Drosophila melanogaster: one gene and its partners. The protein of the gene in region 3 purifies or fractionates together with the protein of the main gene of each other region. This does not show direct contact. Each region holds a gene or a part of one and is shown on either strand. Other genes may lie near its edges.

The links. Proteins that work in one complex are often made in the same cells at the same time.
Region 1: the proteins of Sod1 (region 3) and Treh purify together in Drosophila melanogaster (affinity purification with mass spectrometry, with the first as the bait; one large-scale study listed by BioGRID). This does not show direct contact.
Region 2: the proteins of Sod1 (region 3) and Trxr1 purify together in Drosophila melanogaster (affinity purification with mass spectrometry, with the first as the bait; one large-scale study listed by BioGRID). This does not show direct contact.

The regions. Positions count from the first base shown.
Region 1 is NT_033778.4:21,078,965-21,084,026, forward strand, and holds the start of Treh (trehalase), read left to right. Parts: upstream 1-1,643; 5' UTR 1,644-1,907; intron 1,908-5,062. UniProt on the Drosophila melanogaster protein: Enzyme that cleaves trehalose to produce 2 glucose molecules that can be used by the glycolytic pathway.
Region 2 is NC_004354.4:8,241,705-8,248,952, reverse strand, and holds Trxr1 (thioredoxin reductase 1), read right to left. Parts: upstream 5,372-7,248; 5' UTR 5,225-5,371; coding exon 4,894-5,224; intron 4,765-4,893; exon of another isoform or gene 4,523-4,764; coding exon of another isoform or gene 4,456-4,522; intron 3,566-4,455; exon of another isoform or gene 3,327-3,565; coding exon of another isoform or gene 3,209-3,326; intron 2,860-3,208; coding exon 2,514-2,859; intron 2,444-2,513; coding exon 2,217-2,443; intron 2,146-2,216; coding exon 1,259-2,145; 3' UTR 920-1,258; downstream 1-919. Other genes in the region: ND-75 (NADH dehydrogenase (ubiquinone) 75 kDa subunit), read left to right, coding at 1-23; sni (sniffer), read left to right, coding at 5,877-6,002, 6,697-6,748, 6,810-7,248. UniProt on the Drosophila melanogaster protein: Thioredoxin system is a major player in glutathione metabolism, due to the demonstrated absence of a glutathione reductase.
Region 3 is NT_037436.4:11,110,944-11,115,494, forward strand, and holds Sod1 (superoxide dismutase 1), read right to left. Parts: upstream 2,798-4,551; 5' UTR 2,697-2,797; coding exon 2,631-2,696; intron 1,906-2,630; coding exon 1,510-1,905; 3' UTR 1,338-1,509; downstream 1-1,337. Other genes in the region: emei, read left to right, coding at 1-176, 245-419, 482-745, 802-921; FoxK (forkhead box K), read right to left, coding at 4,142-4,475, 4,541-4,551. UniProt on the Drosophila melanogaster protein: Destroys radicals which are normally produced within the cells and which are toxic to biological systems.

The sequences.
Region 1 (5,062 bases), on a different chromosome or scaffold from region 3:
TAGAAATTATTTATATTTATGTTCGTAAAAAACCACAACGATTTAGATTATTTAAATGTAAAAGCTATTAATATTAACAGTTTGCGTTCTCCTGACCAGTCATAAGCGAAGCAAATGTAACTGACATTTGTTACCGTTTATTGTTTGTCACGAACTCAGTTAGATTCACTTCTCTGTTTCAGAGCTGATTTGCGATTGGTCGTTGCTTGGCGGTGTGTCCATGTCGTATACGTAATGTGAAACGGATTAGCTCGTTAAGATCAGATTGGAACCAGCTGTTGAGCAGAAACGGCAGTCACGTTTATAGCTCTCTAGCCCAGCTAGATCGCAAATTAATCCATTATCAGTCACTTTTCTTATCAGCCCAGACAACAACAGACCAACTGACATCGCATCAATTGAGACAGATCCTCCCCCTGTTGAACGATTTCATTATTTCTGAACTTAGTACACACTCAGCTTGTCATGCATATCACCAAGTGTCTATTCAGATTTTCCCACTCCCGGGCGCTCCATTGGGCTTCGCAGAAACTAAATCAGTATGCGATTAGGAGGTGCATCAGTCACCGAAGGCTCAGGTGAGGCGAGATAGTCTGACACTGATAAAGGGCCCGTCCTGCTATGGCACGTTCGTTTTAGCCAGATAGAGCGATAGACGGCGAGCCTTCTGAATCACCTGATGCTGTCTCATCCCCAGAAACTACTCACACTGCACAAAAGTCAGACTTTTCAAGAACAATTTCGATATTACACTCATTCCTTTGCATTGATTTTAAATAATACGTCATTTCCATAATACGACGTTTTGAATAAGTGGACTCATTTGACCGGAAATGGGAAATATACTCACTTCATACTTTTAATAATAATGCGTTCATTCAAGTAGTAACCAACGTCAAGTTCTAATTACGAGAACATATCTTCTTTTGCAATTGAGTCCAATCCAACTCATACGAACTTGAATTCATTATAAAATACGCTGTGATGTATGTAAAAAAATAAATTAGTAATGACTACACTACTACAAATTCTTTCATTGTAAATGTTTTAATTTACAATTCCTTAAATATGAATAAATTTTCTAAACAAAACTAGTTTTAGATAACATAGTATTTATTTGCTTTAGAGCCAATTTCCTGCCTATCTCAATAATGAATAATCTTTCTTCCAAATCAAAAATTATTTATAATCGTTTTTGGCAACAATCATAAGTTAGTGAGGGTCTTAAATACCACGTCAATTCATTTCAGGGTGATTCTATCTTATCGCCCTATTTTCGAGATTTCAGAAGAGCGAGGCTTTAGAAAATCAGGCTAAAGTATTTACGGTTTCCTTTTCACCACGGCAAAATGAACAAAATTTTCCATATTGGAATATAATGAGACCCTAGTGCTTCGCCAATTGTATAATTCTCTCTACTGCCCAATAATTTTCTCAATCAATCAATGCAAATGTGACAGAGTTTACGCATCAATAAATCTTATTTATTTGCGTTCTCAACTAAAAAGGCAAACAGAAAACACGATTTTAGCCAATTTTCAGCTGTGCTTCAGCTTCTTTCCCCCAAAGGGAACACTTGGTAACTCTGTTCCGGGCGGATCTTTGCGAAAATCTTATTTAAATTTAAATCTCCGGCACTTGGATCGAGGCAGTCGGATCGTTGCCTTCAAACGATCAACATCGCAGGGGCTTTATGGCGATAAAGCAGCGCTTTTGATTAGGAACGAGAGTGTATATAGTCCGCGTTCACATCTATATACATATAGTAATCTGGTGCACAAAACAATACAGATAGTGAGCGAGTTATAAAAACTCGTAGTCAGCTCAGCAAATTGCCAATAATAAAAGTGAGTGAAATGCGAAAACAAACTACAAATTAATTTGAAACTGAAAAAGTACCTTTACAAGTAATTGTAATTTGGTTTGTAACTCTCGACTGAAAAATACAACGCGAGCTGAATATACAAAAGCAATTAAATTATAATTTTCAATACAAATTGCTGTGGTTGCTGTCGTTTTCCCTCATATCTGCTGATATTTTCCCTGAGCTTTTTTTATCGCGTTGAAAACGTGAATTCTCGTTATTTTTACCACAGATCAGCGACTTGCGGTGTCAGTGATCTGTGGTCCCTGGGTATTTAGAATTTAAATGGACTTGCGGACAGAAATCCCACACCGAATAGTATATAAACTGCTGTCTAGTGTCAACGCTTCAAGTCTCGTTTTTGCACTGCCAAAAACCACTTTTTTTTTTATTCCAATATGAATTGCAGCTAATTTGAACTGTGAATTTCATTAGGAATCGAGTGAATAGCTGAAAGTAGCTGATCCAGCCCGACTGGAAGATGTACACTTTCTGTTGCTAAACCTATTTAATCTTATCAATATCAATATCAATTTCATTATATTCTTTCTAAGAAAGTTTCTAAGTTCTTTCTATATGTGCACTTCAAGCTGCTGACTTCAACGAGGCAATCAGTTTTTTTTTTTTATCAGTATCCCTGAACTTGTCCAAAAACAAGTTAAGTGCACTTAACTATATAGAGGTGAAATGATTCTTAAAACTGAAGAGCCTTGAATGCCGCTGTATTTCAAGTGAAATTCCATCAGAAGATTACTTCAAGATCTATTTTCAATATCAATGCAATAAACAATGCCCATGATAACGAATATTTGAGTTATCTTCGAGATTAAGTTCAATGCTTTCCAGTTTTATGAGCAATCGATAAACCTTTATTGTCCACTTGAAGATTGAAGATTAAGGCTCCAGTGGTTCATAATGTTACTAGGTCAAATTTTCCCCTTTATTTAATTAAGATTAAAACGCAGTACTTAAGCCACTCAATATGAATCCTTGTATTGCAAATCATTTTATTTAATTTGTTTAACTTAATTACTAATTATTTCCCTCACGCATGAACGTTTCGTTTGCAGCTAACTGCAAACCTTTTTACGATTCAATAACCTTTCGAAGGCCTTTCGATCGGCATTTGAACGGCTAATCAAAGCAAAAACGCACAGTATCTAAAACAAGTTAATTCAACCTGATGCAAGTTAATTCTTAATGACATTACCTGTTTTTGTGTGTCTTGTGTGTTTCTTCGTTTTCCTCGCGGACTTTTCAACATGTCATTCCAAACCCATCAGGCATTTGTTAGAATTTTCGACTAAGCCAACAAACCGTGCTTTATAATGGCTAGTTGAGTGATTAAATTAATCGGCAATTATACGAACGCGTTGAATGGCCCACATAACGATTAAAATCGTCCTTGAATGATTTTGGCAAAGTTTTGTTTTTCAAGCCCAGTTCAAAGATCTGAATTAACTGACTTTTGGCTATTGTATTCAAACAAAAACGTCATGCGAGGCACTTATCACTGCCATCGATGACGACAATGAAATTTTATAATACACATCTATATAAACAAATCATAAAGTCACTGGCAAACATAATAGCCCAACTAAATGGTGAGAGTGCGAATAAGCATTCAGAAAAGTTAATGATTTCGTTCACGCACCTTAAATTGTTGTTTAAACAATAGTTGCTTCATGATCGGGCTGCATTTTTATGATTTATATGGAATTTAAGACGGAATTGTGTGATTTTTGAGTAATGCGGAATCGGAAGTCCACGTAGGGGGGAATTCAAAATTCGAAAAGTTGTTAATACAATAATGTTTTCCAATGCCTGACACGTAGGGCCAGCTGTAGCGCCTGCTATTTGTCATCCATGGTTATCTGAAATGTTTTTCGAAAAGAGCCATAAATCAAATATTGGTTGAGTACGCCGAGCGGAACAAGAAAGTAAATATCTACAAAAAACTCAATGGAGTGTGTCTGGAAGTGTAGTAAGTGTTATAAGTCTATGATCCCAACTTGCAAATGCCGAATATGACTTCGCTAATGGAATCATAAATACTAACCACTTGTGACGTATGTATTAGATCAATGATTTAGTTGCACCTGCTAGTTGCTGTCGTCACAGAAAGATTGAAACAATGAACTTCTCTCTTTGTGGTTCTCATTACCGTGCGGCTCAATTTAAATTGCACAATTGTTTCGCCTATTTGAGTTCCCTTTGTTTTCTGATGCCCCATAGGGTTATATCATCGTAGTGCGATAATTCATCATACACTTAATGTTCCATAAAATACATTTGTACATTTCGTGTGCAATATGGTGGCCTTAGCCGTTCGAGTTTGAGTTCTACTGGCTTCCGATAATGGCTCTCCAAGCTGCGCTTAAGTTTTCCAATCCCATCACATAATCCCCTTTTTGCGACTCAAATTTCCAAATATGACGTATCTGTATATCCATACATTCGTTAATCTCTCGAAAGCAATCCTTATTCAGCGAATCAGTTCAATGAAGACTCGTTATGTCGGTCCACAGAGTGGCATTCGTGCAAAACGTCGCAATTCCGGTCCAGAATTTGGGGCCAGACGACACACGTGTCACTAACACACAACCCACTCTAATTATAGACTTGAAAATGTATCAGCTTGATTAGTTTGGATATAAATAAAATGTCAGGCGAATGTCACCATTCTTCGGTGACCTCAAATCGGGTACAGCGCGATTAAACCGCACTGCAATGCAAATCGCTCAGATATCGGGCTATACTCATTAAATTTCTGGATAACTGGTTAGTTTCCAATTCCAAAAAAAAGTTTCCACACTTGCCATCGTAAGTGGAGCATTACCTATTAGCATTTAAACTAGGCCTAAAATCCCCGAAAATTACTTCTTATCAGTAAGTACAGTGGGACCTTGCTCAGGCAAATATCTATATGGTAACTATAGATGATCAAAAGTTGCGGGTGCCGCTTTAAATAGGTGTTATAGTTATGAATATATATTCAAAGGTCCTAAACCATGAATATTCAAACATCAGTTAACGATATGCAAATGATGGGTGTGCCAAAAACCCAGTCGAATGCCCCTTGCCACCGGGCAACTGTGTAATTACCAAGGCACTTAGAACCGAAACCGATACCAATATGCCGATTGAGCAGGTAATGAATGGCTGACTTATAAATATATATATGTATATATGTGTTCA
Region 2 (7,248 bases), on a different chromosome or scaffold from region 3:
CCAAGCAGAGTGTGGCTATCTAGGCGCCCACTCTCGCGTCTGATCTAAACTAATAACTAATTAATGTTTTTTTTTAAACTCTGCCCTTCGTCCTTTCGCGCCGCACTCGCCCACTAATTAACGGACACAAAGACACCAGGACGAGCCGCGGGAAGAGCCAGCGCAGTAGCGGGATGAGGAGCACGATCGGCGGCTGCAGAGGCGCCAGCGCTGCGTCAGTTGTAAATGAAAAAGTCTTACGTTGTTCAAAACAAAGGAGTTATTCAATACGAAAAATAGGAAAACCAAAATAAAAATGTAATAGAAAAAATATCACAACAGCGACTTATCAATGGGTTGGGTTTCACTATGGGTATATTGGGCTATTCCAAGTCGCTTGGTTCATAGTATAGCCATCTCGCTTTGTTTCGTGGCATCCAATCGGAGATACCACCTCGAAAGTGTTCCATACATACATATATGATTAATGCTAATTCCTTATAGAAGCTATTGAATTCTCTTTGCTGTTCATTAATTGATTGCATCAATTTACTGTCTTAATTTGATTTTGATTTGCTTGCGAGGATTCCTTAGGTCATAAACTTCAACCTTTTCGTAGCTTCTATTACACTTTATCACGCACTGTTTTTCCTTTGAAAACTAAAGTATAATTTATTACCCACTGATATATGTATCTCCAGGGTGCCATCGTTCGTAGCTGATTTATAGCCCTCGAGGGCAAAGATTCCCCTAGCAATGGCATTAGCAATTAGTCGGGTGGCTAACAAGTTGTCAGGCTGGCAGACAGAATCGATTTAGCCAGGTCAAGTCAAGCCATTTGCATGGCTAATGAACTTACTTGATTGAAAAGGCAGAGGAAGGGCTAAAGGTCGAGGTATGTTTTAAAGGAAATGCACAGAACTGAAACACAGAGGGGTTTGTTGGTGAAAAATTATATTCTTCAACCGTACATTTAGGGGATTTCATAGTTAATTTCATAGGTTCAAACAAATTCAAAATTTTGAGTGCATGTCGGCGGCGCAGCAGTCGTGGGTTGGGCTGGTCGCGCGGGTAGTTCCACTGGTGTCGTTCCACCCGCCATCGCTGCCCAGTGCCCCTCCCTTGCGCAGAGCTATTGTGTTGGGTGTTAATTGTGGAAACGAAACGGAACTATTGAACTCATCGATCGCTGGGCCGCGACAACAACCATTCATCTACGGGATTTCGGGTGGAGCAAGCGGCTTCGACACGTCCCAGGCGGCTGAGCTGCGTTCCCGCTTTAGCTGCAGCAGCTGGCCGGCGTGGGGTCCAGTCCGGAGCGCTTGGTGATGGCCAGCCGGGTGAATTCTTCGGCGGTAGTGGGATGGATGCCCACGGTGTTGATCAGCGTGTTAATAGTCAGGCCAGACTTCAAAGCGGCAGCGAATCCCTGGATAACCTCACCGGCCACCGGGCCAATATAGTGCAGTCCATAGACGCGCTGGTCACCATGGCGCTCGGCCACAGCCTTCAAGTAGCAGTAGCGCACGCTCTTCTGGGGAATGAAGAACTCCGTGGGCTTGTAGTAGCCGTGGAACACCTCGATCTCATCGGCTCCGAACTGCTTGACGGCATCCTCCTCGCTCAGGCCGACGCAGGCGTACTCCAGGGGCGTGAAAACGGTGGTGGCCACATCCTTGTAGTCCATGCGCTGGGTAGATCCTCCGTACAGGCGGCGGGCCAGCAAACGGCCAGCCAAAACGGCGACGGGCGTCAGCTCTGGCTTGCCATAGATGATATCGCCGACAGCGTAGATGTTTGCCACATTGGTAGCCTCCTGGGAGTCCACTGGAATCTTGTCCTTCTGCACAGTCACGCCGGCATTGGGCAGGTTCAGATCGTCCACCAGACCCTTGCGGCCGATGGCCCACAGAACGGTGTCGTAAACATCCTCGGCCTCCTCGCCGGTCTCCACGTTCTTGTACTTCACGAGCAGCTTGCCATCATCCTGCTTTTCCACGGACAGCGGCACCGTCTTGCGGAGGAAGGGAATGCCACGCTCCTCCATCGAGGCTGCCACCAGCTCGGCCATCTGCTGGTCGAAGCCACGCAGCACAATAGAACGCACCATCACAGTGGGCTCGTAGCCGAGACCCTTCAGGAATCCAGCGCACTCCAAGCCAATGTCTGAGTGAAAGAGCAGAAACCGAATGGGTTATTCATCAATTTGATGTAAGCAAATGAAAGTAGCTACTTACAGCCAGCTCCCACCACCAGGGTCTTGCCGGGCTCGCGGTCCAAACTGAACAGATCATCGCTGGTGATGCCATACTCGACAGCACCGGGAATATCCGGATAACGTGGTCGGCCGCCAACGGCAATGACGAAGGTCTGGGCGGTGATTGTGCGCTCGCCGCTCTTCAGCTTGGCCAGCAGTGTGTGCGAGTCCACGAAGGAGCCCAGTCCATTGATGTACTCCACTTTCCTGAGCGCAAATAGAAGGGTATAATTAGTGGGGATGCTCGAGCGGAAGCCATAGATATAGTCACACTTACTTGTCGCGCAGATCCACACGGGTCACCCAGTTGACGGACTTGATGTGGTTCTGTACGGACTGCACCAGCTTGTGCCAGTCTGGCTTGATCTTTTCGTCCACGTTCCAGCCGTAGGCGGCCGCCTCATGGACAGCCTCGCCCAGAAGGGAGGCCTGGTGCATCAGCTTCTTGGGAATGCAGCCCACGTTCACGCAGGTGCCGCCAACGCCCCACTTGGTGCCCAGAGTGGGCGTGGGCTTAACGAAATCCAGACAGGCCACACGGGCTCCATTGAGGACTGCCTCCTTGGCGCAGGCCAGGCCAGCTGAGCCGCCTCCAATCACAATAAGGTCGTAGTCGTAGGATCCTGCAGGAGAAAAAAGGTTTTCGTTTGATTCATCGCCTTTTGTCTATAGAAATATGTAATCTACTGCCAAAATTGGGCTTAAAGAGGTCAAGAGGTCACAGAACATGAGGAGCCGTCAGGAAATCTAATCGTAGCACAGCCAATTCACCTTGTATTATTAAAAACTTATCACCGTTAGTAACATCAATAGCCATGTTGTATTGGCATGGTCTGTTTTTGTTCTTAACCAGTATCTAGATTAGTTGAAAATCCTTATCAGTGATAGGTAATGATATCAATTAGCCATGTGGTGCCAACTACTCAAGTTTCTCTTTAGCTTCACTCATGATTATGGCTAATCCCCGCCTGCCTTTGGTGGACTCCTCGCGCAGTCGTATGTCCAGATAGGCGGATCGGTAGATGCTCCTCCGGTGGCGTGGTTCACCCTCGACCAACTGGGAAGCCGGTATGAATTCGAACAGATGCATCCAGACCAAAGAAGTGCGGAACGAAGACTGTTTGGCCTCCTGCAATCCGTAATCTGCACCGTGCAATCCCGTCGAGCTCCTTGGCTTCAGTTGCCAGGTAGCGATAGTGCTGCCGAATGCCACACATGCCACTGGGTCAGTGGGAGTTCGAATCAAAGTGGAGCAATCATCTAGCGACATCGCCACACACCAAGCCACGCCCATCCCAGCCCGGCCACGCCTTTCTTCCGTCCGTCCACCTACGCCCCCCCATTCGGTTTGCTTTGACCCGCCGGACTTTGTCATGGTTACGCCCCAAAACTAGTTGGCAACACCACACACAATTCGCTTTTATCGGACGGAATGCTAATCCTGGCCAGGAACAGGGGGAAATCAGGTGGCTACGTACGAATGCGAGTGCAAATAAACAATTGTTGTCGTCACACTGCAATTAATTGCGGAATGAAGTGGTGATGACGCAGCTCAGCAATGATGATGAAAGATCAAAGACGATGGCGGGCGCTCGTTGAGCGACGGATACGAGAGATACGAAATAGAAAACACAGATAAAGGGAATAAATGCACCCGACTGATATGGTGAAATCATCATCATCATCATCATAAAGCGATTCTCGAACATTCCGCAAAGGGTTATTCGTTCAAGAGCACCGCATTCGACAAAAATCACACATATCACGTTGGTGCTTTAAGAAATCCTATTATACCCTTAATTACCATTTGAAATCAGAATATGGCATATATTTATAAGTAAATTCTTCTATTGTTTTCGGAATTAGAAGCTTCGTATCTGCTCGATTGGCTAATTATTCATTTAACAAGAAAACTTGATCGTGGCATGTGGGATTTATATTATATTACAAATTAAAACATCAAATACGTTTAACTTCATATAAATAGATATTAGTTTTTTTTTACCAGCTAAAGGCAAAATGGCAATACAAGTGACTTGTATGAATGTAATTTAACAAATATTATTAATTCGTTAAGTCATATGATGTAATTCTTTTTTGAGGCAAATAACTGATATTGTTTAAGCTGCAATTGAGTAATGGTTTTATGAGCAATCCATAATTCAATTAAAAAAATTCGACTGACATAGTATTTATACGCGATTCAGAACTTTGTTGACCATTATACTTAGAGGATGTGCTCTTTTTGGCGCCCACAACGATGGCGCAAATCATGTACTTCAGCATGATACGAGTTTCGAGTGCTGTTCGCGCGACCCCGACTGTACAATTCCAGTTGGAGCGGGTGCGCGATGACGATTGACGATGACGGTGCAAATGTGAGACAGCAAATGCCGGGCAGGCATATAAACCCTTGGCGAATACGTGCCGCAGAAACCCGATAAGCCAGGTAATAAGAGCAGAGTAATGGACTTTTTGGCCAGGCAACTAACGGTTATTGCATAATGGCGTCGGTTAAACACAAGAAGACCCAGAAAAAACAACAAGCAAGAAAACCGCGACAATCGACCGCGTTGCCAACCGGCGGCAACAGGAGCAGCAGCTGCGGCGGCAACAGCAAAGATCTAATCAGAATATCAATCGATATCGATGCTCACCTCCTTTGGTGCTCATCTTTCGCACCGGTTGCGCGTACATGGCCGCCCTGTCGCAATGTGGATGCTGGAAGGGTGGTGGTGCGCCGGCACCGGATCCGGCTGGAGCATTCCCACCGGTAGCTCCAGTACTGTCGCGTGATCCTCGCTGTCCCGTCAAGTTCATAGTTCGCTGAAACGTGTGATGGGCACAGCTGAGACTACTGGAAATCCAATGGGGAACCTTTGTTGTCAGTGAGCCTCTGTTTTGTATAATGCCAGCCGAAGGAGACGTTAAAATCGTCGAGCACTGCCGCACGAACGTAACGGAGAATCTCGAATTGCACAAGTTCATCTTGTTGGCCTTTCCCCTTCTTCAACGTTTGGCGTTTCACTCTACCAGCTGGAGGCGAAACGAAACTATTCGCGAAAAGGGTGCAGAAAAATGACGGCGGAACACACAACACAAACACGTTCGCTGGTTCGGCCGGGAATGCTGCGAAAGCGGTGGGCAGGCAGAGGCGCCGATAAACGGCTACGTAACAGAAGCAGCGAGAAAGAGAGAGGGCGCAAGAGCGCGTACCGCAAAAACGAGAATGTTTGGGATAAAATGGATTTGCCATAAAGGAGCATCCATTGGATTGCGAAATTCCATTTGGGATTTGAACATCACAACAGTTGTTCTGCCCTTTGCCAATTGGAAATGTGCGAAACGCACGTTTGGCAATGCGCAAGTGTATCGATAACTCGCGGATGGTTGGTAACACTGCTGCTGTCCGAACGAAACAGCCGGCCGTCAAAATTTTTCCTAACATTTCACTATTTTCACGCTTGTGTTACGGCAATAAAGTCGATTGATAAGCACGGAAAGATCTGGCTGCGGGTCTGGTGAAATCCACAGAACACACGGAACCCGTATAGTAGTGCCGCCCTTTATTGGTTTTATCTCAAGTACGACGCGATAAGATTTCGAGCAACTCGATCGCGGATCTTCGGAAAAAAAAAACATGAACTCCATCCTGATAACCGGCTGCAATCGAGGATTGGGTCTGGGCCTGGTCAAGGCGCTGCTCAATCTTCCCCAGCCGCCGCAGCATCTATTTACCACCTGCCGGAATCGCGAGCAGGCAAAGGTGAGAGATGTTTTCTTCTTATTTTGCGTTGTCTCTCTACTAAGACAATCCAGTAATCCAACAAAACCGGTGACTCACAACCGTCGAGCTACAGAAACTACAGAAGCTACGCGAACAATCCACAAGAGCCACTATTTCTACAAACCGCTTTTTAATCGTCCAAATGGGCATGCATAAATTGAATGGTTCAATTGGAATCGAATTAACTGTGAAACTCACCTTGCACGGGCGCCATTATTTTGTTGCTTGTTGGTAGGTGCTCCACGTAAATCAGACAGAAAACAAGGATCAACGGCGGGTAGTGAATGTTGTTGTAGTCGAAGCGGAAATGTAAAAACTGCTAAGCGTGTATTGTAGCGGCTCTCGGCACTCGCGAAAGCACGAAACGAATAAGCGGAGCCAACTTTTGCAATAGCTTTTGTACTTTCGTACGAGCGTGCGAAAGGGAGACGTCGATTGGCTTGTCGATTGCTGGGCCGACTATTGTTCGGTCACACCAGCAGCACTTATCGTCTATCGGTTATTATGGCACTAACGCGCTCGTTGGGCGCGCTATTTAAACTCTCATGAAATACCAAATTTGCCTCTAAAAATTACAGTAATTTAACTGGAAAATTATTCATATATAAACTGCTTTTTTACTAATAATGTGCTTCTTATTCAAACATTTTGTCTTTCCCAATTTGGCCCACAGGAGCTGGAGGATCTAGCCAAGAACCACTCGAACATACACATACTTGAGATTGGTAAGCATTATGTTTTACCAGCCGCTAAACACTCTCGCATATAAATATATTTTCCGTGCAGATTTGAGAAATTTCGATGCCTATGACAAGCTAGTCGCCGACATCGAGGGCGTGACCAAGGACCAAGGCCTCAATGTGCTCTTCAACAATGCCGGCATAGCGCCCAAATCGGCCAGGATAACGGCCGTTCGATCGCAGGAGCTGCTCGACACCTTGCAGACCAACACGGTTGTGCCCATCATGCTGGCCAAGGCGTGTCTGCCGCTCCTTAAGAAGGCAGCCAAAGCGAACGAATCCCAGCCGATGGGCGTGGGCCGTGCCGCCATTATTAACATGTCCTCGATCCTTGGCTCCATCCAGGGCAACACGGACGGCGGAATGTACGCCTATCGCACCTCTAAGTCGGCCTTGAATGCGGCCACCAAGTCGTTGAGCGTGGATCTGTATCCGCAACGCATCATGTGCGTCAGTCTGCATCCTGGCTGGGTGAAAACCGACAT
Region 3 (4,551 bases):
TTGCGGATGGCCAAGATGCACTGGGATTCGTTGAAGTACTGTCGCGGCAACCGGTTGCTGCAAGTGCTCCTGAATCTCAGCTTTGTGCTGCCCTTTATTCTGGTCATCCTGTGGATTCGGCCCATTAGCCGCGATTACCTGACGGTGCGCGTCTTCCAAGGAATGCAACAGCCACTGTGAGTTAACCTACTCACATTAAATTAGTTTTTACTAATTAACAAGTTCATCCCGATTATTTTTGCAGACTGAAGCCACACGTTTTTGAGACACTTCGCCTGCTGCTAGTGATCTTTGTGGTGGTGGTTCGTTTCGCCTTGATGCCCATATATCTGCAATCGTACCTGAATCTGGCCCACGACAAGATCATGGATCTGCGCAAGGAGGCCGGTCGGATCACCAACGTAGAGTTCAAGCAGAAGGTGGAGGCAGTCTTTATTTTATACAAACGTTCATCGAGTAAATCCTCCTTTCCCTTTTACAGATCTCGTCTATTTTCTACTATCTATGTGTTGTGACGCTGCAATTTGCTGCCCCACTGATCCTATGCCTTTATCTCACACTTATGTACAAAAGTCTGGGCGGCTTTAGCTGGTCGGGTATTTTCCGCGAGAGCGTTGTCCTGCAGCACGAGTGTGCGGCTAGCGAAACGGAAGGAGCTGGTGTTGCCGTTTCCCAAGGAGATGGTGACTTTAATATTATTGAGTCGGCGCAATCGCTGCAGGCTTCGTTTAGCAGCCTGAAAAACGTAAGAATCCTTGCTGTGCACGTCAATGCCAGTTTTAATCATAATTTCTTTTTCAGGTTTTCTCCACGGAGGTGTACAAGGGTTTCCTGGGCTTTGCCACCTGGTGGAGCTACTTCACCCTATTCGCCACTTCATCGCTGGGCATTGTCTACCAATCATATTTCAACAAGACCTAGGTTCATTTAAATCCCCGTCGTAGTATATGACTTTGTTCTTTTGTAGTGAATTTATACCGCACACGAAATTAATATTAGTTTCTACTCATGTGGCGAGTATCTTGATTTACAATATTTTTTGTAAATAATACTACCTAACTCATTGTTTATAAAGTGTGTTTTAAAGACTTTTAACCAGGCTGCCCGGAGAGTAACCAAAGTAATTACAAAAATAAATAAATAATCTAAAACGGAGATATGTTATCAAAACATGAACGAATGTGTGTCTCATCGTGATTTTTGGGTTCTGCACTCATCTAATATGTAATTCATTTCATACGAATCTATAACCCGATTCTACTTGCGAATTCGTCGAGCAACAAGTGATATATTCATTCTTACCATCTCAACTCAAATGAAAACTATAACTTTTGTTTATGGGGCAATTTCAAAACACCAATTTATTGAACCTCAAAGGTTGCGTATCAACTAACAGACCACAGGCTATGTATTTATGTTTAGAAGTATGTATATCGTTTGTATATCTCCAGTGGGTAGTGCTAAATAGAGTAGATCAGCACAGTGGCCGACATCGGAATAGATTATCGCTTAGACCTTGGCAATGCCAATAACGCCGCACCCGATGCGGGCACCAGCGTTGCCCGTTGACTTGCTCAGCTCGTGTCCACCCTGGCCAAGATCATCGGCATCGGCGTGCACGACAACGGTGCGTCCGATGATGCTGTCGGCGCCGAAGAGCGTAATCTTGGAGTCGGTGATGTTGACCTTGGTGGGGCAGTCGCCGGTGGCCTCAATGTTGCCCAGATCGCCCAGGTGACGATTCTCGTCGACGGGAGCGCCATGCTCCTTGCCATACGGATTGAAGTGCGGTCCGGACGACATGCAGCCATTGGTGTTGTCACCGAACTCGTGCACGTGGAATCCGTGCAGACCCTTGGCCAGGCCGCACACCTCACCGGAGACCTTCACGGGCGTACCGCTGCTCTGTGGACGGGATGAAGGGATTGGGTTATAACGCTTCAGATAATACTCGAATACTGATAAGACACAAGTTGTGTATAATAGTGAGCAGAAGCACTGATTATGATAACGAGCGTGGCCAACTTCATATGATAATAGGTTATTATAGAAAATAACATTTGTTAATAGACACACGTTAAACGGAAATATTTATAGGCAGCAAAGTAAACATTTGGTTATCTTTATAGATTAAAAACATAAATTTCCTCGGCACTGAAACATAACCTGTAATCATCAAGTTTATAATCGTTTACTTGACACTTGACATTGCTGCTTTGACTTTGATGTACAAATTAATTATGAACAGCATCATTCTAATTATTCCCATATTCCTAATGCTTATTCTAAAACAAATATTTGTTGATATTTAACGATACTTTACGAACAAGTGAGCTTTATATCTTAACTCCTTTTTATGTCCAGTACCAATTTCGTGACCTTTGCTGTAGGCACTTGAGCGCACACACATATGCGCATTTTGGTGCGGCTTATATAAATATAAAGGTGCACTTGCTGGGTGACTAGGCGTAAACTCAAATCGGACTTAATTAAAATGCTCGACAGAATTTAAAGCAGCATATTGAAGTGGAAGAGGGGGCCGCGGGTGCAGCCGGCTATTTGACCTTTAGAACTTCTGTTTTTCGTACATTTTGCCGAGCAGAGAAGTTCAAATGATTTTGGATTCTCACCTCCTGTTCGAAGAAAACCGTGCCCTTGGCATCGCCGTTAATTACGCAGACAGCTTTAACCACCATTTCGAATGAATTAATCAATTTATCAAAACGAAAAAAGTTGAGAACTTTCCAGGTATCTTCTATGGTGTGACCGTAGCAGAGCAGCTTAGAAATACATGCGGAACTTTTACTGTTAGTGTTCAGTTGTGCAAAAGTTTCGTTCACACTATTATGCCGTTACTGGAAGCATTTTTTCTTTGTAATATTTCAAGCTCATGTTTTATTGGGACATTTATTTACATTTTTAAGGATAAAAGCTACAAATTACAAAATTTGAAAACGGAACAATTTTACTGCACAAATGGCGTTGAATTTTTTGAGCTGTTCAACGAACGGGTGGTTCACTTGGAAGCCTTCCATTTATTCCAATGACAGTGGCGGGAACTATTCAATTTACTTTGTTTTGTATAAATAAAAAACGAATCCAGGAATTCCCCAATAAATGCCCAGACTTGATTGCGCTCCTGTTGACTAGTATCAACTAGTATTCATTCATCTATCTAATTCAATTAAAGCAGGTAAATATTAACAAATTGAAACAAGAAAGTTTACATTTGATTTTTGTTTTTTTTTTTAATACACAATTTGTCCAAACACTTAAATGGGATTTTCTTCATTAATAAGAAATAATGTGCTATCATTTCAATCTTTATATATTGTTATTGTATCCGTAAATTTGTAGATATTACTTATTTATTTTCATCATTTTTGTTTTTGTTTGTATTTTAATAATTTGTATATATATTAATATAGATATACATATATATATATACACATATATATATATATTATATTTAAATCGATATAGGTAAAGGTATGTAGATAGGTAATATTATTCATTCGCCTGTTTGTTTGTTTGTTTGTTACTTGTGTGGTTTGCTTGCTTGTTACTTAATTTTCCCCAAATTTTTTTTCACGTTTCTCGCACAATTCGGTCACATAGCTATAACATCTTAAACATCATAATCATCAATCATTACAATAATCAATCGCATATATCTAGATAATTTTGCTTTGTTTGCTGCTTTACCTTGTTGTAAACTTAAAATTTATTATATTACTTAGAGAGTAGCGTCATCGAGCATATTGAATTCGTCAGATCTAGGGGATAAAGTCGTTACTTCGAATCGGGTTTTCGAATTTTCAAAATGTGTGCTTGCATAAGTCGCCGCCGTTGAACGGCTGCATGGCCAACATTTCAAACACAATCATCTCACAGTTGCTATTTGTAAAATGTTCCATATCAATTTACATATACATTGCTCTTCGCGTGCGTTCATGTTCCTTAAGTTCTGCGTGTGTGGCTATTTAATTTGATTTGTATTTCGGGGTTTAGGTATAGGTTTTTGATTGGCAAATTCAATATACAAGATGGAGATACTTTTTTGTTTTTGCTTTCTAATCGTTTACACCCATGGGCCTCACTATTTGCCCTTGTTCTGCCGGTGCTTCTGGATCCGCACGCATCAGAGCACTTCCGACACATACTTGGGTCGCTTGGCCACGGTGGCATCGGTGGCAGTGGTGACGCACTCCTCCTCGCTGGCCTCAATGTGGCCGCTGTAGTCGGTCGGCAACTCCTCGTAGATAATCTCTGAATGCTGTTGCTGGGCCACGGCCTGCTGCTGATGCAGCGTATGCTGCGATGCCCCGCCGCCCATCACATGGTTCCTCTTTAGCGCAAGCAGAGCTCCAACCCCGCCGCCTCCGCCGCCGCCGCTCGCTGCGCTTCCTTCCACATGCGTCTGTGGTGTGGCCACTCCAGAGCTTTGATTGGTTACGTAGTACGGACTGCCACTACTGGAAAATACGAAAATAAATGTTTAAGACACGCATTGAATGAATCATTTTAATGTTGTGCTCACCTGTACTGATT